Linked DNA regions of Daphnia pulex. The protein of the gene in region 2 interacts with the protein of the main gene of each other region in a biochemical or structural test. Links are inferred from orthologs where the notes say so. Each region holds a gene or a part of one and is shown on either strand. Other genes may lie near its edges. The genes, in order: suppressor of fused homolog, zinc finger protein GLI2-like and serine/threonine-protein kinase fused-like.

What was found.
Region 1: the proteins of zinc finger protein GLI2-like (region 2) and suppressor of fused homolog form a complex in vitro, tested with the Drosophila melanogaster proteins (2 studies listed by BioGRID). The link is inferred for Daphnia pulex from reciprocal best matches to the Drosophila melanogaster genes ci and Su(fu).
Region 3: the proteins of zinc finger protein GLI2-like (region 2) and serine/threonine-protein kinase fused-like form a complex in vitro, tested with the Drosophila melanogaster proteins (2 studies listed by BioGRID, with this or other methods). The link is inferred for Daphnia pulex from reciprocal best matches to the Drosophila melanogaster genes ci and fu.

What each region holds. Positions count from the first base shown.
Region 1 is NC_060019.1:8,216,210-8,223,737, forward strand, and holds suppressor of fused homolog, read left to right. Parts: upstream 1-2,549; 5' UTR 2,550-2,697; coding exon 2,698-2,915; intron 2,916-3,003; coding exon 3,004-3,096; intron 3,097-3,155; coding exon 3,156-3,569; intron 3,570-3,647; coding exon 3,648-3,736; intron 3,737-3,834; coding exon 3,835-4,129; intron 4,130-4,192; coding exon 4,193-4,400; intron 4,401-4,507; coding exon 4,508-4,579; 3' UTR 4,580-4,870; downstream 4,871-7,528. Other genes in the region: putative inorganic phosphate cotransporter, read right to left, coding at 1-40, 112-244, 319-471, 531-754, 818-905, 1,032-1,265, 1,638-1,828, 2,053-2,158; zinc finger and BTB domain-containing protein 4-like, read left to right, coding at 7,105-7,337.
Region 2 is NC_060017.1:6,836,563-6,844,347, forward strand, and holds the start of zinc finger protein GLI2-like, read left to right. Parts: upstream 1-2,988; 5' UTR 2,989-3,995; intron 3,996-6,072; exon of another isoform or gene 6,073-6,167; intron 6,168-7,242; 5' UTR 7,243-7,525; coding exon 7,526-7,541; intron 7,542-7,785. UniProt on the Drosophila melanogaster protein: Has a dual function as a transcriptional activator and a repressor of the hedgehog (Hh) pathway. The full-length ci form (ciFL), acts as an activator (ciA) while ciR, its C-terminally truncated form, acts as a repressor. Involved in segment polarity.
Region 3 is NC_060025.1:6,990,312-6,998,128, forward strand, and holds serine/threonine-protein kinase fused-like, read right to left. Parts: upstream 4,928-7,817; 5' UTR 4,408-4,927; coding exon 4,297-4,407; intron 4,233-4,296; coding exon 4,119-4,232; intron 4,045-4,118; coding exon 3,722-4,044; intron 3,655-3,721; coding exon 3,413-3,654; intron 3,339-3,412; coding exon 3,236-3,338; intron 3,167-3,235; coding exon 3,041-3,166; intron 2,965-3,040; coding exon 2,685-2,964; intron 2,618-2,684; coding exon 2,235-2,617; intron 2,122-2,234; coding exon 2,012-2,121; intron 1,899-2,011; coding exon 1,716-1,898; intron 1,629-1,715; coding exon 1,544-1,628; intron 1,417-1,543; coding exon 1,323-1,416; intron 1,192-1,322; coding exon 1,135-1,191; 3' UTR 745-1,134; downstream 1-744. Other genes in the region: E3 ubiquitin-protein ligase lubel-like, read left to right, coding at 6,168-6,173, 6,353-6,518, 6,612-6,772, 6,838-6,984, 7,049-7,120, 7,189-7,306. UniProt on the Drosophila melanogaster protein: Probable serine/threonine-protein kinase; maternally required for correct patterning in the posterior part of each embryonic metamere. May be involved in control of cell division during metamorphosis and ovarian development. May interact with costal-2.

The DNA.
Region 1 (7,528 bases), on a different chromosome or scaffold from region 2:
AATCCAGCACCAATTAAAGCCAACGCGGGTCCGTATTGGCCTTTTATAATTGCAAAATTTGAAATTAATCTCGCAACTAAACTTGAACATCTCGTTTTTAAAAATAGTTACCAATAGAATTAAATATCTTCCGTACAGTAATAACTCTAAATATTTGTTTGGAAATGAGAATATCTGCGACTGTGCTGCAAAGGAGCGAGAAAAGCCACATCGCCAAGTAGGGAAGAGCGGACACGAAACTATTCTGTAAAATTCATTCAAATATCAAACGGATTAAGTGACTTTTTCACTTGGCCTTGTTTCAAATTTTATTTGTACCTGTTTCATGTTAAAATGTAAAATATTATCCATGTAACTCGGTAGTTCAGTCAACAGCGTGTAAAATCCCCAGGCGTGACCAACATTGGCCGCCCCTACAGCCCAGCAGGCTTTTGATCTAAACATGCATCGCCACGGTACGGGAGCACTTTTCTATATTAAGGAACAAAAATCAACCAGTCGACTTTTGATTAAAACTAATAAAGAATTACCCTTTTAATGGAGTCTTTCAAAGAACTGCAAATGTAATCTTTCTCCTCTTTGGATATTTTGAGATGTCGAGATGGAGAATCAGCAGTGAGGGGCATCCAAACGGCGAACCAGACGATACCCAAAGTCCCGAATACGTAAAACACTGTTGGCCAGCCGCCGTCGAATCCGTGCTCGCAAAGAATTCCCGAAAGAGGCAGTGTTATTACAGTCCCAAATTGTGCGCCTAGAAATTAGAATATAAACTTTAAAGAATTTCACGATGAACATTATACAAAATCCAACGTACCTGTGAAAACGAAAGCGGCCATTTTACTTCTCTCCCACGGTGGAGCCCATTCGGCAAGCATTGCGTACATCGCCGGGAACGTCACACCCTTAATGGATGTTGAAACAGTCAATTATTCGCTAGATTTAAGGATTTATTCGGCATGCGGAGGGCACCATGTCTGTTTCCCAGTGTGGCGCACTAGCAGCGCCTTTTTATAATAATATCGTAATACCTCTCCCAATCCCATCAAGACTCGACAGAAGATCAGCAAAGTGTCGCTTGCTCGAGCGGCGAACGGCGTCAACAAAGTGAAAAGTGAAGTACTGAGGATGCCATAACCAAGTAATTTTCGGCCGCCAAAAAGCTCCGCCAACCTCCCACCAGGGATCTGCGTTAAAACGTAGCCCCAGAAGAAGGAACCCAGGATGATTCCTTGTTTATATTCATCCCAGGCAAACTCTCCGTCCTTTTTAAAAAGAAAAGAAAAAATGTTGAAGATCATTAGTTTCGCATGGGATTATGTTTGACGGGGAATGACAAATAGACGGGCTTAAGCTGTGCACCAGACTGCAGACACGCGGCCATTTGCTCCAGACCATTTTCGTGCCTATATACAAAAAGCCAAGACTCGTGACAGGATTAACTCTCAGAGAGAACGAGGGAGATAGAATACGAGAGACAGGAAAAGGATGAACAAAGTCTAGCGAAAGCTTCCAATCCATCATCTCAGAAGAAAAGACCCAGGGGCATCGCGTACAAGGGGCCGAGTAGGGTGACTAGTCTTAGATCCCCTAGTGACTTTGCAATTATGTTTGACATTTTTTTTAGAGTCATTTACCTTTACTATTCCGGATTGGCTCTCTCCTGGAGTCTCTGGGCAGATATCCACCGCGGTTTGATTGATGTGTGGGATAGCGCTCTGATTGACCATCGCTACGATCGTCACGGACAAATTCACTCTCATGGCATAGACATTGGCAAATCCCAAGAATCCTAGCAAGACTAGGGTATGTCTAGTCCCCCAGCATCCTGTTAGTAATAGAAAAATGTATTTCTTTTGTAATATTTTCTATCTAGGAATGCAAGAAGTTTGAAAAGTATTAAAACACTCGTAAAACAACTCCTAGAAACATTGTCTGTGGTTAACAAAGCAGTCACTTGAAGTTTCCTTTGTAGATAAGGAAACCAACATGCAGGACAACATAACCCTGCACATGCGGGTAAAGGATGCTCCTATATCGACAGTTTTATACCTTGGTCTTCGTCATCGTGGGGAACGAGTCGCAACTTTTCATTTACTGTTTCATTTTCGTCTACTTCGTGTTGTTCTGTTACTGGGATACTAGTTTGCTGCACCATTATTCACAAATTGCACTAATAAAGGAGGGTTGGTAATGTTAAACTTTTAAAAGAAATGAGCCATTGGTGTGATTGTGCAAGGAGAGAACGGGAGTAGGTTTTGTGTGCGTGTGGGTGGTATTTTTTGTATAGTTGGAATGTAAATAAAAATATTAGCAGACCGATCGATGACACGTCGCAATAGCCTGTGGCTCTACTCCTAGATGTCTCTTATTGATTGAATGATGAAAAATAAATTTCACTTAGCTAAAAAGTCAGTATAATTTGTATAGTAAATAATACTATAGAATTTATTTATCCCTAAAAATGAAAATAAGGCTGCCCTGATAGTCTTCTTTATTTCAATTTTAATTTCACTAAAAAGATAAAAATCAACGATGACATTAGTAACTAGTGCTGCCAAATCAACTGGTGGCGAAGCATTGTTACAAAAATTCCTCTGCTATACACAATTGTTTGGAAATGGAGTGAAGTTTTGGTTTAGTTGATTGACATTTATTGTTATTTATTAGTAGATTGTGATAATAAAAGACACAACAATGCAGAAAGCACAAATGCATGTCGTCGCAAACACGTGTGCAACGGGAAATGTGGCGAGTGTTGCCAGCAACTTTGGTCCCGAATCTGGTCCCAATGACGGTCAACAATTGATGCTTTCTTCTTCAGCATTGGGATTGGAAATATTGTATGAATCATGTAAACAAGTGTACCCTCTTCAACCAAATCCATTGCAAGTGACAGCGTTCATCAAATATTGGTGAGTACTCGATACCTTGCTGATGTCCGATCAACACTTGGGAGTGTGCCCAATTGCTGCGAATACTTACCCTGATTATGAATTACAGGCTTGGTGGTCCAGATCCTCTAGACTATATAAGCATGTATGATCATCCTGGAATCCCAGAACTTCACATCCCTCCACATTGGCATTATATCAGGTATACATTGACACTTAAATTGTTACCAAGCACGACTTGATTATTTCGTTTCACATCAGTTTTGGCCTGACAGACTTGCACGGTGATGGCAGAGTTCACGAGCCTTCAGGACCAGAGTTTCCCAGTGGTTTTGGTTTTGAGCTGACTTTCCGCCTAGCCAAAAAGTCTGGTGAAGCCACACCACCCACATGGCCAGCAGCTCTGTTACAGGCCCTTGCCAAGTATGTTTTCCACACTGGTAACTCTTTCTTCGCTGGTGACCACGTCTCCTGGCATTGTCCTCTGGACGGATCGGATTTTGAATGTCGCTTGCAACACATGCTCCTGGCGGAGGATCTTTTGTTACCGCCAGTCCAAGGGCCATTAGGTTCCGTCAAGTTTCTGCAAGTCGTCGCCGTTACGGAGGAAGAGTTGCAAGTTTCCCAGCACTGGAATGGAACTAGCGTGTTGGAACTTTTGCGACGAGTTCCCTCGTAATATCCCCCGCTTCACAATAACTCTAGAGAATAGCCAACAAAAAAAGTTGTATTGATTTGCCCATTTTTACACAGTGCCGGAGGCCCTTGGCTTGTTGCCGACATGCAGCGTCAGTTATCGCTGTTTGAATTGCAGCCCTCCTTCCGCCGCGAAGTCGAACATGGTAAGGAGAAAAAGTTGCGCCGCTCCTCACAGGAGCCGTTTGTAAAAGTTTATTTATAGAGAGAGAATCCGATGTATATTCTGCTTCCATGTTTTTAGGGATCGATCGTGACGGATGCTCGTTGTCGGGCGTCAGCGCTCGCTGCCACTGGGAGGAGAGAAAAGTCACTTCGAAAACTGGTTCGGCTTGGAGGAGTCCGGAAGCTGAGGACGACTCTAGTAGTCAGGATGACGAAGAAGATGAACCGGAAGCTGGAGCGACCCTCGGGCGTCATCGACCGGCCGACGGTGAACCAACCATCAACGGCGAAATCTGGCCCATTCGACGACTCTACAAGGGTGTCCATTTGACGCTCAACTTGGAAGCTGCTTCCCTCCTGCCCGTCGTTCTTCGGTAACCCTACCAGTTGATTTCCATTGTCAGTCTTTCCTTATTTTCTAAATTGTTTATTATTAGGGGACGACTTCGACACGATCGGCATTTTACCTTCAAAGCAGTGGCCGGCGAAACGGCGGTGACGCTCCTGACGGGCAGAGTGGGAGGTGCATTGGCTTCACCGTCAGCTCCTCTCGTAGCCAAAGGTCCTTGGCTTCAGATCCTCGTCGATTCCGAGTGGTTAGCCAAACTAGAATCTGATTTGGCTTGCCTCCAGCAGCCCGATGGGGTGATTATATTTCTTTTTGATGAAATTCATCTCGAATGCATTGCCAATTTTGTGTGTGTAATAATCAAAACAATTTTTTTTTACTCTCTCCCCTATTTTATAAAAAGGTGGTGGTTCCCAAAACGTTTTGCTGGTTCGACCGACAGATGGCGTTGACGGTAGTTCCCGATGAATTATGACGACTGTATAAAAAAAAAGTCTTGTCTTTCTCAACTTTTTTTTCTTCTTTTATTTTTTTTCATGTTGTTTTCCTTCTTTTTCCCACCCCTTTTCTTTATCTATTCTTTTTCTTTTTTTACAATTGTAAACTGTAACCACGTGCCTTTATTATTATTCCTCGTGCTCGCGCGTGGGATGGAACCTGACCTGCGTGAATCTCCTTTTCTCTGGAAAAAAACAAAACGAAATATCTCGGGCGGATGTTGACGGAAGCTGCGTGTTTGCTGCAATTATAATGACGTTGAAAACTTGCCAAAAATGCGTTTTTCCAATCTTGTCTATTTATAGAAAAAGGCACACACACACACGAGGTGTCGAATCTGTGTGTTCATTTCGTCTACACTCTTTTTCTATTTCTTTCTTAAAAGCCTTTGGCTGTCGTGCAAAAAAGGACTGGGCAGCAGCCGAATCCTTGAAAAAGTTCTCCTCTCCCAGCACAGCCTTTTAGTCGTTGGACGCTTTTTTTGGATACACGGCCGCTCACGCAGGGAAAAGCGACCGGAGGTGGCGGCGGCCGGGTCCTCTCAAGCGTAATTAAAAGCGCAGTGGTCATCTCTTTTTTTTTTTAATTCTTTTTTTTGACGCAGAGTATATTTTGTTAGTTTTCATCTTTTGGCCTTCGGGAGGGGAAAATGAGCAGCGTGATGCAACAACAATTTCTTTTCAAAACTCATTGTTGTTTGCATTTAGCAGCTGAGCTAAAAGGGAATTTTGTGTTTTTTTTTCACGAAGGCCAAAAAGTCGGATGAGGGTAGAAAGAAGAAGAAGAGAAAAAAGGTTCACGGCATCGATCGGACTGGCGGGCCAGTCTCCCTGGACCCTGCGCCGATGATGAAGGAAGAGAAAAAAAAGAAGAGGAGGGGGAGTTGATTCTCACACACGTACAGACGAACGAACCCTGGTGCTCTTAACGCAGACGGGGAGGGGGAGAGCCTATCAAGAACGAAAAGAAGGAAGAAGAAGAAGAAGAAGGAAAAGAAGAAGAAGAAGAAGAAGAAAAAAGAGCGGATGCTGAGAGAAAAAGAAAGAAGGGAGGGGGGAGAGAACATGGCCGACTCCCGGCAGGAGGGCGGCCACCTCCTCCCGTTGGGGTGGAAAGAAAGTGGGAGGTTGGGGCGGGCGGCACGCGGGGGCCCCTCCGACCTTTTTTTTCTTCTTCTACGCGTTCAGACTTTAAGAGTCAACAATGAACTTGATTCTCACCCAATCATCTCGTAAGAAAAGAAGAATTTCCTTATTTAAAATAAAAGAAAAAAGTTGTTTTATGTTTTTCGCATTTTTTAATCCCGCGGGAAAATGTTGGACATACCATCAAAAAAGGGAAAATTGGGTTGTGTGTCGTGAGAGAAAAAAACATGTCGCTCATCTCTTATAAAGACGCACATATACACGCACTTGACGGGTGGAAAAAAAGAAAAACAAGACGACGCCATTTCGTTTTTTTTGAAAATAGATGCGTGTAGAGTCGGTCGGTCCTCCTCCTCCCTTTTGGCCAGCAGCAGCAGGACATCCTTATTTTCATCTGGTCGTTCCTCCATCCACTTGTTTTTACCGTCGATTCTCTCATTCTCGCCGTTTTCCGACGTAGTACACGTCTCTCCGGGTCGGCCAGACTTAACCTTGGGAGAACACACAACCGCGTTATAGACGAAACGCAAGACTTTTAAGAAGAAGAAGAAGGTGTCTTGTTGCCATTGTAAATTTAGACGACCAACTGGTGAGCAACTTTTTCGTTGGCTGACTTTAAGATTAATTTAGCGACAACTGGAAATGTACTCGGCAGGTGTCCACCACATTTCTTAGGTCATCTTTTATTGAAAATGATAACCCAAAAACAGATCTGACATGATAAAAAAAAATTAAAAACAAAAACAAAACTAAACATGTGTGTGTTAATCGTGTTTTGGCTTCCCCATTCTGGAATTTTTTTGTTTCATTTATTTTTCAATTCTTTTTTATTCCAAAACATTTTTTTATTTCATTTCTTTTTGTGAGCGATATCTATCGATAGTTAACAGACGACGATTTTTTTTTCAGCCCCTCCTCCCCCCCCCCCTAAAGAAGGAGGTTCTTTTTTCACACACTAGACTTTTGCTGAGTAGTGCCGCTAGAGGAGCTTCAGTCTAGTTGAAGCTTTCCGTGCGGTGAGGTCGCGGCCGTCGCCTACTCCCAAACTATTTTTACGATTGGCGCCAAACGTTATTTTTATTTTTCCACACACACACAACAACAACCAGCGCAGTGAGAGCGTGTGTGCCAGTGAAACCCTTGAAAAATTATTTTTTATTTTTCAAATTCTTCTGGTTACAAGAAACGTGTTTTTGTGTGTGGATGCAGGTGCACCCGACATGCTGGTGTGTGTACCATGTGCGTGAGTGTCAAGTGAAATCGGGCACGTGCTTACCTCTCTCGGATTTTGAGATTTCTGCGGACTAATTATTAGCCAAAATCAATCGACGATTTGGTTCTGGTCCGAGTGAATAAAATGCCAGCAGCGGCAGCGATCGGTCCCGATGGGCAGATTATGCGCCCGAGAAAGGGTCGACCGCCCAAAGGTGGTTACCCGTATCCGTATCCGGCCTCGACCGATCCCGCCCGCACCATCTACATCGGCAAGAACAACGCCCGCCACTGGGCCGATCTCAAAACTCGGCTCGGATACAATGGCGACGTCGATTTCGTCTCTTTTCTACTCCGACTGGCAGAGGAACGTCTCAGGTATGTTATCCTCGTGTGTACTCCATTTTCTTTGGTTGGTTGGGGGGGAAAAGAAAAAAGATTATTCATCATGTCAAGTCAGGAGAAAGAAGTAGAAAGTTTGTTTTGGTTATAAAAATGTCGTTTCATCGTTGTTGGGTCGTCGTATTCTCCCCCGAAAAATAAAATAAAACAAAAGAAGAACGTTTTCG
Region 2 (7,785 bases):
ATACTTGACTCACGCGCTCACGCAGCCCACCTATACAACGTCACGACATTGCGCATCCTTTCCCGTCTCGAATTTTCCAAATGGATTTGATTTGTTGTGGAAAAATCGTGGAGGAGATAGTATAGTTCTGAATAAATAAATAAAAAAGATCTTTGAGACATGTGTGTGTGCGCGCCGGAGGCTTGAAAAATCGTGAATGTCTTACCGACGACTTGTGCCCAATTCAATTACAGCCACCGCGATATCGAAAATGCACAGCGCGCGGACGGACGGATGGACGGACCTTATCATTTTTTCCCGTCTCCCTTCCATTTCGATATCCCCATAGCGGAAGGGGGCGGCCGCATAGTATAGACACGACGATGACGCACGAAAATCAATCGTGTGTGCATTGACGATGTATTTCTATATTAAACATGTAACATTCTATCGAGTATAGATACGTATAGACGCTGCGTAGAGACGTATAACACGCGTCTCGGAGAGAGAGTCTTCTTTCCGTGTGTTGTGGGTTATTGGCTTTCGATTTTCCGTTGGAGCCAACGAAAAATGATGAGACTCAAACATTTAACGTAAGAAAAAAACAACCCCCCGAAAAATGTGTTCACGAACCGATGGGAAATCGTGCAGTGATCGACTGGAGGCCAAAAATCAATCCATCAATTTTGCCTTTTCTGTTTTCCTTCGTTTTGATTTTTCTTCTTTCTTTTTAATATTTTGTTTCTTTGTATTTATTATTTTTTAAAGGATAAAAAAAAGATGAAATAAAATGAGGAGCCGATTCTTTTCTTTCTTCTTTTCAAACTAAAAAATTCTATCGAATACAATCGAAAGAAAAATAGAGTCGGGAGAGAGACAAGAGGAGAGATACAAGAGAACAAGACAATAGGGCCGGTAATGTGGAATCTTTTGAGCCGATCTCTTCTCGGCGCTGGGTGTTACTGTGGGCATCAACCTGCTATATAGCAGCAGACAAGTCCACACGGCTACACATATTATATAGCGTGTGTGTGGGGGTCTGAACGCGCGCGAGCCGCCCGCCCGCCCCGCTTCTTTCTCTTGTGTGCGGTTGTTTATACGCGCCGTGAAGGTGGGCCGCAGCGGCGCATCTCTATCTTATTGAACACACACGATAGAAAGAAAAAGAGACTCGTAGATATTTTTTTTATTCATTCGCCCAGCAGAGAAGAGAGAAAAAAAAGTGCTGCGTGAAAATAGAATCGCTTTTCTTTTTTCTTTTTTTTCTGCTGACGTAATGTTTATGTATGAACTTGCTGGTGTCTTGACAGTAGGGAAAAAAATGAATTTCCATTTTCTTCTTCTTGGATTTTTCCTTTTTTTCTTTAAAAAACCCGGGAGTCTCTAATGATCCGAGTCATGGCTGCATTCAAATGGCTCTCTGATTGTTGTGGGTGTGTTGCATATCTTTGGGTCGGTAGAGAACCACACACACACGCACACACACACACACATTGTTGTGTGTGTCAAATGTTGTTGGGTGTTTAGTTGAAACCGGCGGTTCAGTTTTCTTTTGCTGACAATTCGGGATCTTGGTCTGAACGCAGGGGAGTTGTGAGATATCAAAAAGCTGCCCGCGGTACAAACAAACCTTTTTGACACGCATTGGCAACAGCGTGCAAGCCAGAAGAAGAAGAAGAAGCCGGAGCTTATTATTATTATTATTATTATGGTCTTTTGGTGTCATCTTATCTTGGCCTTCTCTTTCTTTCTCTCTCTTTTATTTTTTGTTTTGTTTTTGGTTGAATGGAAAAGAACAACATTTTCTATCGTTTTAATCGGACACACATATTTACACATACGAGCAGCAGCAGCAGCGGCAGCAGCAGCCGGTGCCAACCAGCTCCGGCGCCATAGGAAACCGCGCCCGTTTGCTGTGTCTGTTTGCTGTCTGCGCGCATTAGAGACCGTTGTGTAGTGATTATTATATGCGAAATGCAATCGAGTCATTATTATTGCAGCAGCAGTGGCGACGGTTTCACTTAACAGACAGACCAGCCAACTCGGCGGTAATCAAATCCCGTCGTCGTCCTCTACTATAGTCGTCGTCGTCGTCGCTGCGTTCGGAATTCACGCCCCTCTCTCCTAATGTGCCAAGGTTTTTTTCTTCCCCGTATCGCTGCGCCAGTTGCTATCCTGATGACGTGATCCGCCATTTAGGAAAATAGCTGATGGCTCAACAGCAGCAGCAGCAGCAGCCCTCAAAGAGATGAGAGAAAGAAACAAGCTGCTGACACATCAAACAAGAACTCGATCGCCGCCTTACTCATCGCTGCTGCTGCTGCTGCAACCAAACAACTCGTCCCCGCCAGTCCCTCCGCCTCTTTGGCGTTTAAGGACAAACTGTCCCGCCGTTCATTTTCCCAAAAAATAAAAGGAAATGATTTTCTCCCCCAAAGATCTTCTAAAGTGAGAAAAGGGATTTTTCATTATCTTAAATGACATTAAGGCTGCCGTCATTCATTCGGATAAGGAGGCAACCAATGAGGGGAGGAGGCGTCCGTTTATATTTGTTTCTCCTCGGGAGAAAAGAAAAGAAGGAAACAAATGAGGATGCCCGACAAGAAAAAGGTGGAAGAATATCAGTCGAGGAATCGGGAGAATCAAGACGTCCTTAAGATAACCGGTCGACGAGTCGATGACTCTCGTCCCCAGCGCCGCCAAACACCCCAAAAAGGCTCTTCCATCAGGTCCGCGTCCGCGGGAGAAGGCCAGTCTCACCAAGCAACCAGAAAAGAAAAAAGGAATTTAACCAAAAAGACAATCAAGCCAAAAACTATGGTAAAATATAGAAACATCAAATAAATGTTAAAAGAAAAAAAAGGAAATTAAGTGTCGAGGAATTTTGTTTTGTTTTTTTAATTCGAGAAATGATGGTGAATGGAAAAGTGGCAACGCTGGGCGCCACTAACCATTTTCTGGTTTTTCGTGTATAATTCTTATTTTTTTTGTTGGTGTTATCGTCCAGCACGACTCTAGCTGCCGGGTGCTGCTGCCGCCGCCGCCGCTGCTGCTGTTGGACGCTATACGGGCAACCGTTTTCACGAAAGACACAACAACAAACCTTCCTCCCCAGTCGGGCCGAGTTGAAGGCAGTGGCGTGATTCTTTCTACGTTCGCTCTTGCGCGTTTTCCCATTCAGTTTTTCACCGTCGCCATTTCTCCCCGCCCAAAAAAGATCAGATTATTTTTGATTGTGCGCACAGTTTGTGTCGTTTTTTTTTCCCCATCTCGCGCAAGTTCCGCAGATCGTGTCGACCCCGAGACGCGACCGAGAACCCGACCTCAACTCGAGAAAGAAGAGACTCTCTCTCTCGTCGTTTTCTATTTTGTTTTTACTTCTTGTTTCCTTTTTTTTTCGATTTGACATCCGTCTCGACGATTTCTCGTGTCTCGTCTGTCGCCTCTCGTCTCTTTTTATTCGTGTTCTTTGCCCTTTTACGCCGATTCGTTTAATAGTAGCCAGAAAAATATATCAATTGCGTGTGTCGTATATTACAAAGTGTCGAGCCAATTCGTGTCCACCAGTGCCACAAGCCTCTCCCGACGATCGACCGAGATTCGATCGGGCGTCAAAAGACTTTTCTTCTTTTCCTTTTTTAATTATTTCACATATTACACATTCGAGCTCCCGTGAAACAAAAGTGTCTACCTTATCGCATTACCGCCGGCAATGGGAGCCACAACGTGACGTAATCTAATCGCTCCGTAGCCTAGATTTCAGCTCATTAGACACGGCAGCAGCGCAGAATCTGATTGGATTCATTCAATCTTTTTTTAATATTTTTCCATTTTTAATCGAGTCGTGATTCTCCTCCCGGCTTGAATAGTTGGCGCTAAAGTGCCGGGCCCAGCCATCGAGTGTTTAGTGAACTTGAGCCAACGGTACGACATTATCGTATAGTTTAAAAAAGACGTGTGTAGTATACGGTGGATTACAACAGTCTGAAGAGATACCATCAACGGCATTCTGGGCGGTAAGTTGATCCGTCAACAACGAAGGATAATTTCTTTTACTGTAAGGTTGTGTGTGTGTGCCTGCCAACAACACCTGTAGACGTAATCTGCCGGGCAAATTGATTAGACACAGCGACACTTAATATATCGGCTTTAGTCCATTCAATTGATGGTAAATAACTTCAAGAAAAAAGAAAAATTGAATAGGCGTCGGATATATAGTTGTCTCATCATTTATCCTTACAGCAGTTCCATTTTCTCTCTATTTCGACCTGTCCACGCTCGCACAGTCAATTATCTAATGGGTCTTTTTTTTCTTCACCTGTTGGAAGACGCACCTGTAAAAAAAAACGACCGCTGTCGTTCTAATACACTTTCGTTTTGTACTGCTACATATTATATAGTTTTTTTGGGGGGGGGACTGTGCGGTCGTAACGCTGACCACACGCTCGGTATAAGTCCCGTCACACCTCCACAAGAAAAAAAGAATAAATTCCCAAAAAAACCACGAAGAAACAAAATGCTTCCAACTAAGTGACAAAAGGCCACACCGCAGTAGTTTCCGGCTTGCGGTGATGACACAATCGCTTTCCACACTCGGTAGTTTTGTTCCGATTGCTGGTCAACAGCGCTGGCCGTGTTCCGGCATTCACGTTATAGGGGACTTCCCTCCTTCCTAATTGCTAAGAACCACCTCAAAATTGTTTGTCTTTTAAATATCCATGGCCTATTTATTTTTTTAAATTAACTTGTATACAAATTCAAAAGAGAATGTAATACTCTTTATTATTCATCGAGACCCACAAGCGGTAAAATAATGTCGGATACACTCCCCAGCACTTGATTTTAATAGTCGAGAAATAAAAACTAGGAAGACGTAGTAAGTTGGTCAATTGTTTCTTTTTTATACTTTAGGAAAAGTGTCCTGCACCTTTCAATGTCTCGTATAGATTCCCAGACGAAACCGCAATTTTCTTATAGCAGTGACGAAAGCTTTCCGTTGTTGTACATTCGGTATACTCTCCTTTTGGGTTGTTTCTTCTTCCGTTTTTACGACCGGAGGAAAAACTGGCTGCTGCCGCCGCAGTAGCCAACGTCGCACCTACTCTACATCTACTTAGATATGCGCACAATCTTTATATAAAATTCCTCGACCAATTTACGACACTCTATATAGTATAGTACGGGGGCCACTTCATTTTTTCGCTTCCATCCACTTTCTTCTTAATGCTTTTCGGATTAATTCCGATTCCGGAACAAAAAGACATTTGAAGAAGATAAAATGAAATCCAAATGGATTTTTTTGGTGAGAGTGTGTATAAGTGACACGATGTGCTCCGCCCTTATTTTTTACCTTTTATCTTCTTCTTCTTTAATTCTCCTGACCCGCCAGAGGAGAGATCAATCGGCCGTTTTTGTATACCTCTGCTAAGGGGGTGGAAGGGGGGGAGTTCATTTATCAAAAAGTGGGAGACTTCCCTTTCCGTTGACTTGACCCCATGCGGAATTCCCTCCATCCGCCAAATACACACAGCGGATTAAAAGTTTAAAAAAAGGAAAAAAAGGGTTTTTTTTTTTGGTTTTCTGAGGGTAAAAATGCAAAGTAGTGGACGACACTCAAAAGTACTTATAATAATAATACACGGGCGGTATAGGCCAGCGGGTAAATGTGTACTTTTAACCCAATTTTATTTTACTTTGACTATACTTTAGTGTTGACCGAAGTGAAATAAATAAACTTAAGTATTTTAATGTAGTTGGTGTTACGCGTAAATTTCATTGAAATCGGCTACTTATTTAATAAATTTGAAAAGAACACACCGAATTTCACATTCGTCGTCTGTGATTGGCAGTTGCCACTTCCCATCCCACTCCATTGTTTTTCACCCACCCACGTTGTCAAAGATCACTTAATGACTTTAATTAATTAAAGTATTTTATAATTGACTCGCAATCTTGAAATTATAGCCATTAAATTAAAAACATTTTATTAAAAAAAATATTTGTACACACGTATTCAATTATTCATCTTCGAGAAAAATTAAATTTAGCAATTTAGAAATTGCAACACAGCTCAGATTCGGGAATCTCTTTGTCAGTTATTCTTCAATGGAGTCATGGAGCAGGTTGTACATTTTCGCGGTTTTTTATTCAGGTGTTATGGACCATATTGGAAATTTTTAACCAAATGAGTAAGTTCTTTATTTAGGATCTATTGTAGTTCATAGATAATAAGTGTTTAAGCATTATTTTGTCCACTTTTGGTTAAGCAAACGTTCACTTCATTTGACATTTTGAACCAACAAGAATGGTGTAAGAATAAGTAAGAATAAAGTGAAGTAGAGTCAAAGTGAAAGTTGAAATTGAATTGGTATAGAGGGGTAGTTAATGTACAAGTGGCCAGTGAATTAAATTCCAATTCGTCGAGTCCAAGACTCGAGTGAGCGAGAAAATTGAAGCCCGGCTTCTTGTCAGGTCAAAGATCAGCCCAGCAGGAGGGTTTTTCATTTTTTGGGGAAACACATATGCTGTTGACTTGGGAGGGACACAGCAGACGGACGATATATATTTAGTGTTTATTCCTTCTTCTTCCGGCATAAGTATGGGCTTTAGAAAATAGCATCAGGACTGCAGATTTCCGTTTTGCTCGACACATTTCGCTTCGCTGATTTCAAATGAAAAATTCAAAGTGAAGGACTTTTGACGGTTCTCCAAATCTCTTCATCACATCCGGCCACACACACTTAAAAATGTTAAATAGTAAAATGTCTAAAAACAAAAAAAATCACACTTTGAAAATGTGTCCGGTATTATTTGTGGCGACCATATAAAATGTCCACCACCCATCAAAAAGAAAAAAAGGTGAAAAATGTTTTTTAAAAAATAAAAAAAAAAGCGTTGCGAGTCTATTAAGAAAAAGAACCGTGAAGGCACTTAATGCCTTCATGATAAGATCAACATTTTAGAAGGAGCTCAGCTTATCGACACTTTACACATTTTCATTTCTTTTTGGAAAAGGTTAGCAGCAGCTCTCTGAGCCGGGCAAATCTCTCCACTGGCAACTTCAATAAGTCATAAGATTCCAGAGGTTATTTCAAATACATCTTTCGATGCAATTGGTTGTATTATGTTACGGCTGCGTAAAATGGCGCGCGATTCGCTGTGGTAGTTCGTACGTTCCACTTTCGTGAAAAATGGTTGAACATCACGTCTCGACCGCTCATTCTTTCTTTCTTTTTTTAAAAATCTTTTCTTCTGTATGCGCAGGTATATATCGCTCTCTCGGTCTGCTGCCGCAACAGCAACAACAGGGCAGCCACTCACGCAGGTCCTCCTCATCGCCTTTGGAGATTCACGGCGTGAGAGAATAGATGGAAAAAGGAGGCGGATATCATCGTCATGCCGACATTAGCAACTGCAGCCACGGCACAAACGTCTTGATTTCACCATCAAGTCATTGAAACCACCGTCGAGTTTCCTACCACCCCGCGCAATTGTTGGACCAATTTTTCCTTTTGGGTTTCCCGACCGATTTTATTCTCCCGCATCCATGGATCCCAATTCGGGTAAGTCCCATCTTGGACTGTTTTGTGTTGTTATTGGATCAAACGGCGCGGTCTGTTTGAGTTGTATTTAAATAGAGTCGACGTCAGCCAGTGTCTGAGAAACAGGAAAAAGAAAAGAAAAATGACTTTCTTTTTCTGGCTGCACTTTCTTGATTGATTGATGCGTGTGGATGGGGTGTATGGTCTGCGTCGTGATTCGTTGGTGCGGCTCAAAACACAAGACGAGATCAGTGCCGTGTGATGA
Region 3 (7,817 bases), on a different chromosome or scaffold from region 2:
CTTGTGGGAGTGTTTCCATCTCTCCTATCAGCATTTATTTATATTTCTTCTTCTTCTTCTTCTTCTTGTCTGTGAGATATGCTATACCTTCCGCGCTTTCTTGTGCTGGTGCCGGGCCGATTCCTCAGCTTATTCTTTTTGGAATTGAGCCCACGATGCTGAGACTGCTGCTGGGCCTCGCCCGGCTCTTTCTCAATGGAGGTTGGAAAAACGAGCGCGCGCAAAAATAAGAGGCTCCTCTCTATAGCTAGCTGCCAAGAATCATTTTCACGATCGAACATCAGCAGTGAGCGGCGGACTCTGCCCCCCTCGCGGCTCTTTTGGCCGCATCGCCAATGAGGTGTTTGAGCTCGCACGTGCATACACACGGCCGGAGTCTGTCATCCATCGCCCGCCACAGACCCGAGCGCAAGTTGTGCAATATACCATCTCTTTCTCTCTCTTTTTTGATCGGCCCGAGAGAGTCTCCTATTTTATTTTCATGAATGAACATTTCCAAATAGCCTTGAGCACAATTGTGGGTGATCTCTCTCTCTCTCTCTCGTTCTCCTGTATATACGAGCGCGCCCCATTCACTTGCCGTAAATTCAATCACGTCGTTTTTTTCCTTCTTCTTCATTTTATTCAAGGATGGTCTTCCTGCAGTCTCCATTTTTGATAATATCTATAGTACCTGTTTGGATCTTTCTGCGTGCGCGCGTCCGGTTTTTGTTTTTTTCAATTATTATTATGCTGCTGGGCGAGTGCGATTCAAAAGATCAGATATATTTCACGAGATCAAACGGTAATGGGAAATGTCAAGCAATAGAAATGGCACTGACGATAATAGATCGAAAGATAGACCAAAGTAAAATAAAACAGGATTTGCTATTTGGGAGGAGTGAAAACGGAGGTGGTTCATTGTTTAGTCAACCGAAAAATCCGGCGTTGTCATGTAATGAGCCTTTTACGATTGTTGTGTTGTCGCCCCTCTTCCGATTGGAGGCAGAATGGAAAAAGCTTAGCAAAATGTGGCCATCCGTCATGGAGTTGGGACGGTGAAAATAAGTTGGTTTTGGCTATTTTTCTTTATAAGATTCTTTTTCGCGAGTTTTTCTATCGGCGGTTGGCCCACTTTGCATAGTGCTCGTCCATTCAGTTTCCGGCCCGGGTTTTATGGCCGCTCAGCAAACGATAGGCGAATGTGGCACTCTGTCGGGGAGAGAGAGAGAGAAAAAAGAGAAGGGGTTAAATCAGAGAAAAAGATAAGCGAAAAAGAATCGGCTATAGGCTAGGCCTTCGAAAGAAAAGATGTTGGATATCCCAAACTTGGGGGTACAGACCTGCCTGACCCGAGGATCGCTATCTGCTAGCAATTGCTCCACGCGCTCGACGACGACAGGCTGTCTGCTCAATTCCTTGAGCTTGTCAGTGCCCCTGGGCGAAACGAGGCGAGAAAGAAAACAAGAGAATAGGAACATCATTCACGCTGTTTGCTGCAGCTGACGTCATGGGAAAAAGCTGTTGTATTTTTATTGTATTTCTTTTTTTCTTTTTCTCTTACCTGAGAGACAGGTATCCTATGAGCGTACAACACCTGGACCTAATCATGGGGTTTCGATTCGACAACAAACGCACCAAATTTGTGTCTGTCATGTCGCACAAGGGTAGAAAGAGATGGTGAGATTAGCCGTTCATTTTCTTATTTTTCAAGGCAATTGTGTGAAATGTAATACCTCTTTGAGTGAGAATATCTTGGACGACGCTAACGTTCTCGGCTCGAGTGCGCAGGACGTGCGACAGGATGGCCAGAACGTGGCCGACTGCATGGGCTTTGCGACGATCGACAGACAACAGGTGATGAATGGCGGCCGCGCAATCCAGCACGCAAACAGCATCGCAGAATTGATTGATGAATTCTGTTGTGAATTCAATCGGGGGGAAAAAAAGGGAAGGAATAGAAAATTAAAATAATGATTAGCCACCCCCACTTTCGTTTCCAGTTACACAAGAGCTCGCGATGAGTGATTACCTGCGGTCGTACTCAGGTGCACCAGACGGGCCATCAAACCCAGCAGCATTTCTAAGGACTGCAGATCGTCGGCCGTCAATTCGGCGTCCGTCTTTTTACTGTCGATGCTCCTGTTTTTGGGCACAACCCAAAAAAAAAAGAAAAATAGAAAACGAAATGAAATCACATGGGAGAATGAGAAATGGAATTTAGACTGTGACAAATAAACAAAAAGAGGAGTTACCCGGTGCTACGGTTATCGCCAGATCTTCTCTGAACCATTACTTTGCAAGCGTACAAGAGATTGGGCACGACGCGGGTGTCTGCGTAGGCGCGGACGATTAATTCTTCGTCGACTGATTCCTCGCGGTCGATTCCAGCCCAAGGCAGGGCCAGCAGAGTCGCTATACGTTCGACTAGGCTCGGGCTGGCGTTGACGTTGCGTAACGGAGCCACCACAACGGCGACGAGATCCCTCTGCTCCAGCGTCTGCGGATTCTCTATGGCGTCGGCCAGCGTTCCGTCAAGAAACTCTTCCCATTCGTCGTTTTCCAGAGATTTCGACAGCAACGAACCGGCGGCGGCGGTTGCGGCGGCCGCAACTTCGCCAGTTGTCGTTTCCTTGGCCTAGAATGAATCAATCATCATTTGGTCAATCCTTTCTTCTATGATAGGACTGCACATCGATTTTTACCTCCGTTTTGGGCTCGATGGAAGGTGAAACAGTTTCTTCGACAGTCGGCTGGTTGTTTGGCGGGTTGGGCACGGCTGGCTGAATGAGGGAGAAATGATGAGCGTTGGTGCCAGGATCGAGGGGATCGAAATCGGCCACATTTTGTTTGGTCGGCCATCTGGTCGTTTCTAAAATTCTTTCCAGCAATTGCTGCCTCTCACTGATCCGTGGATCGATGGCAGGCGGTAAACGGTGGGTGTCGACGGCTGCACTTTGGCGACGCGTCCAGTCTCCAAATGCACTATTCGACCAAAATGATAAAGTTTTAAATTTAAAAAAAAACGCGACTTTTAGAAATTCTGTTTAAAGTGACGTACGGATTGTATTGGGTGCTGTGGAAGGCGGCGGCGGGATGGGCCAGCAATTGTTTGGGCTGAGAAACTGGAGCGCTATTTCGGCGTCGTTCGTACTCTTCTAATCTCTGAAGGGCTCGCGTGAAAACCCTTGTAAAAGAACAACCAATAAATTTCAGTTAAAGGATTGGATAAAATAATCAGCACGACAATGTTCACTTGTTTTTGAACGGCATCTTTTGGGAGAGATCTTGTCTTTGAATCTCTTTGGCCAGTTCCTGCGAAGCCGTCAAGGCAGTCGTTAAGGGAAGCTGAGGTCTCACTAGAGAGAAGGTAAAGAGGGAATCAGTGAAATTTGTTACCTTTACCAGAAAAGGAACATTGTATTGAACATACGTCTTTCAGGTGGGAGCAGAACTTTGTTCTCCAGGAAAGGATGCTCGAGCAAGTGAGGCCAAGTTAGCCTGCGGCGAGGATCTTTCTCCAAGAGACCTTGAAGGAGGTTGAAACAATCTGGGCTCAGATTTGTGGGCCAAGGCACGGTTTCGTAACGAATTTTTCGTATTAGTTGCAATAAAGATGTGGTGCAAAAGGGTGGCGATCCAAAAAGGAGCTCATACAAAATGCAACCTAAGGACCTGTTGTAAAAATGAAGGGTAAATCAACAAATCTTTGAAGAGACAATATCTGCAATAAAAAATGTACCATAAATCTGCATTATGATCGTATGGCTTTTCCTCTATGATTTCTGGGGCCATGTACAATGGAGTTCCTTTGACAGATGTTAGCACATAAGTGTTGAGGTCCATGGATCTTGCAAATCCAAAATCGCAAAGTTTAATGATGCCATCACTTGTCAGCAGTATATTCTGAGGTTTGATGTCACGGTGTAATATCCTGTCTGAATGAAGGTAGTAGAGAGCAGATAGCAACTGGCAAGCAACCATTCGCATTTTGTCTTCACAGAGTGTCCCATCTTCCAGTAGTTTGTACAAGTCACTTTCAACATACTCAGTGACAACAACTAGCTGGATGGAGAAATAAATCGTTAATAATCAACACACAAAACTACAACAAATAAATTGTGAAATTTCTTGATTACCTCTTTAAATGTCTCAAAGGCACCAAGCATGTGAACAATGTTTGGGTGACGCAAGCCTTTCTGGATTTCAAACTCGTGTCTCAAGCTTTGCAGCTCACATTCTGTCCTACCAATCTACAAACGCAAAGTATAGAATTTGTTACAATGAAATGGAAAGGAATTTATTTATAACACTTACTTTTGGAATAAACTTGAGAGCAACCAAACCTCTCAAGTGTCTATGTCTTGCTTTGTAAACTCTTCCAAAAGATCCTTCTCCAATTTTTTCTAATACCTCATAGTCTTCCATTTCAACGCACTTTCAACTCGGATTTATTAGATAATTTGAATGTTAAGAAACCACAATAAAGCAGTGTCACTTCTTTTACCGCTGTTAAGAAATGGATATAATTGTAGTGATCATTACGATTCTTGGATTTTAATCAGAAATGAATTGTCTATAAACAAAAGAAGCCATCTAGCGAAGCTTAGACTAACAATATTCCCATGTAAATATCTGGATCAGAGATGGCGCTGTATTTTCGAATAAGGCCAACTGGCAAGGTGATGAAAATGATTCCCGAGCCAGATAGACATGATTAAATCTGACGAAGTGGTGAACATATAACACAGGGATAACAATGATATATTTATAAGAAAATTCCATAAGAGTATAAATAACTAAACAAGCCAGTGCGCTGTGCACTGGACCAAAAAGTGCAAAAGCCGCGAAAAGCAGTAAAAGAGACAGTACGCACGCGGTATGCTACACGCCCTACGAAGGTGGAAGATATATGGGCGTGAAGAGAATTTAAAAAAAAAAAAAAAAAAAAAACACACAACAAAGACCGGTAAAACAACCGGAAATGAATGTGTTGAAAATTTACGTTATTCCCATCACCGAGATGGTACAAATCTATCGATTCCCTATTTTTTTAAAAAACATATTTTATTTAGCTACAAGAGTGTAAAGATAAGAGTAAACAAAGAATTAAATATAGAAGATGAATAATTCCGGTAGGTATTTAATCAAGATTAAACTTTTGAAATGCTTTGCATGGACAAATGAGGTGTAGCTAATGATTTGGATATCGTTGTTGATAAATATTTGGTAGCAGAATAGTCTCTGACGACGGAGGTGGCTTCCTATAACCGTGGCAATGACGCGCCGGCAGTCAGAGTTGGAAACCTTGAATGCCAAGCTATTTTTGACTTTCTTCCAGAGGAATATATAAAGTTTAAATCCGTGACGTCTGAGAGAAAGGCCAGCTGCATTCAAACACGGCACACACAATAAGCGCGAGTGTTGATTTTGTTCCTGCGAAACTACATCTCGAGAACTCGGATGGGTTTTTGATTCGGTAAATTGACAAGGAAGTATTCAGTTCATTCAACTCTAGGCAATTGAAATAGTTGCATGCTCAGGCAAAAAAACAAACTTGTTATTATTTACGATACGTTAATCTAGTAAAAACTTTATTTATTTTGTTTCATATTTTCTGATAGTTTACTGTAATCTACTGAACGATTACTAGCTATTATAGTACACCTCAGTTGATAAAACTTTTTTTTTTTTGTTTGCACGGGTGTTTACATGATGTTATTTACCATTAAAATCCCGTTGGCTACACCTTCCGAATGCCTTCCAATGAAGGCCAAATCTATTCATGCATGTCTAGATTGATTCTCACTGACGCGCTGGCGGTGTCTCACGGGGGAGAACTGCCCCGGTACAGGGAAGATACGACCAGCAGGACGAGCTCGACGATATTTTTGGGATTTTGCTTTTTGTCAGGGGGTGCCGTGTGAATCGCTGGCAGATTGCCGACAATTCCAGCGGCCCATTCCTATCCTGTTTGTCGCACTGCTTTGCTCTTTGGTGTCTATTCCGGCGGGGCGAACGGACATCATCATCGCACAGTGCGGCGTGCGGTCCGCCTTTTCCATCTCTCCGGGAGTTTATATACGATTTTTCAGTCGATTTTTGAGTGTGGGGATCGTTTTATCCGTTTCCGCAATTGGCTATCTCGTGTCGAATCTATCCCATGTCTCCTGTGAGTGTCAAATGAAATGAGGGTACGTCAACGCTATTATTTACTACTTCAGACCACCAGCATCAGTTATACTTTTGATTGCGATGCGAAACAACTAAACCAATTCTTTGCAATCAATTTTGTGTCAGTTTTTATGGGGGAAGTTGGTGTTGGTTAATTTTTTGAAATTAATTTTGTTTCTATGCTGTGGGAATTATTTAGCAAATTACGCCGGCTAGTTCCGAAAATAAATCTGCATCTGCTACCAACGACGCTGCATCTGCTGAACCACCTCCATTACCCACAACCCAACCACCGCCCTTGGAGGACGAATACGAAGACATAGAATACGGGACTGGGCATAAAGCTACGTTCTCAATTCGATTTGGTACAATTTATTTTTATTTTTGTATGCACAAAATGGTTAGCTCAAACGAAAAGCTATTAATCATCCACTTTGGTATTTTCCAACACGTTGTAGGTGGAAAAATGGAGCCGAGAAAAGGCGATGGACGTCACTGTGAACTTTGTGGATCCTCAAGTCCAAAAGTTCGGTGTGAGAAATGTCTCAACCAAATATTTTGCTTATCCTGCGATGACATGTATCATCGACACCCTAAAAGAATGAATCATTCTAGAAAAGTACTTCCATATTTTGAAAAATACCCTCAATGTTATAGATAACGAAAGAATTCGTCTTTTCACAGGCGCTGGATTGTATAGTCCCGACAGTTAGACCACCACTGCCACCCAAAAATGCCGATTCTTCAATTCCTCCACCACTACCCCCACCACGTAACAAAGGAAAGAAAGGCCCATTTTCTACCCCATTATTGAGCCGAAAAGATTTTTCGGTAAGTTGTTGCTTTTTACGTCAAAAACAATGTTGTTTTGCTTGACAACAATTTTGTTCCTTAGACATCGCGCTTAAATGTTTTTACGACTCCTCTGCTGGGCAGGAAAAGCGGAGGATCGAGTTCTCAAAATCAAGTATCATTTACATTTCTATATCTGTCAATAAGGTTATAATACTAATTGGGCCTTTTTACTTTTTTAAGCCGCCGCCGATGACACCCTCCACGCCTCGCAAGGAATCCTTCATGGAGAAAATGGGATCTCTCAAGCGATTCATGGGTTCTAGGCCTCTGCCCTCAGCCCCAGACAGCAAGCCACCAGGTTGTTGATTTAATTTGTCTCGATATGATGGAGAAATAATCAACATTAGATGGCCGGATTAGAGCAAACCAACGAGTACCGCAGTCAAGGCAACGTTGAATCGACCATATTTGACCAAAATTTGTTGTAATTTTTAACAAGTAAAATTTAAATTAAAAATCAAAAACATGATTTTTAGATTTTTTTGAAACATGTCTTTGATTTTTAATTTGAAATTTTGAAATTAAAAATAGAAAATGTTGGTTACAACTAAATGACGATGTAAACAAACTTCGGCCAAATATGGCCGATGAGACGTTGCCTTGGCTGCGGAATTTGTTGGAATGCAGCATGGTTTGCACTTTGCGGTTTGCTGATTTGCTCCAAGTTTCAATGGTTTGCTGTTTTGTTCTATAAGTCAAATTAATCGGAAAAATGTATAGACAAGGAATGTCGCTATTTTCGACCACCTCATATCTCATAATCAAGTGGGCAGTTCAAGTTCAACAGCAGTTCACGTGTTCAATCACGT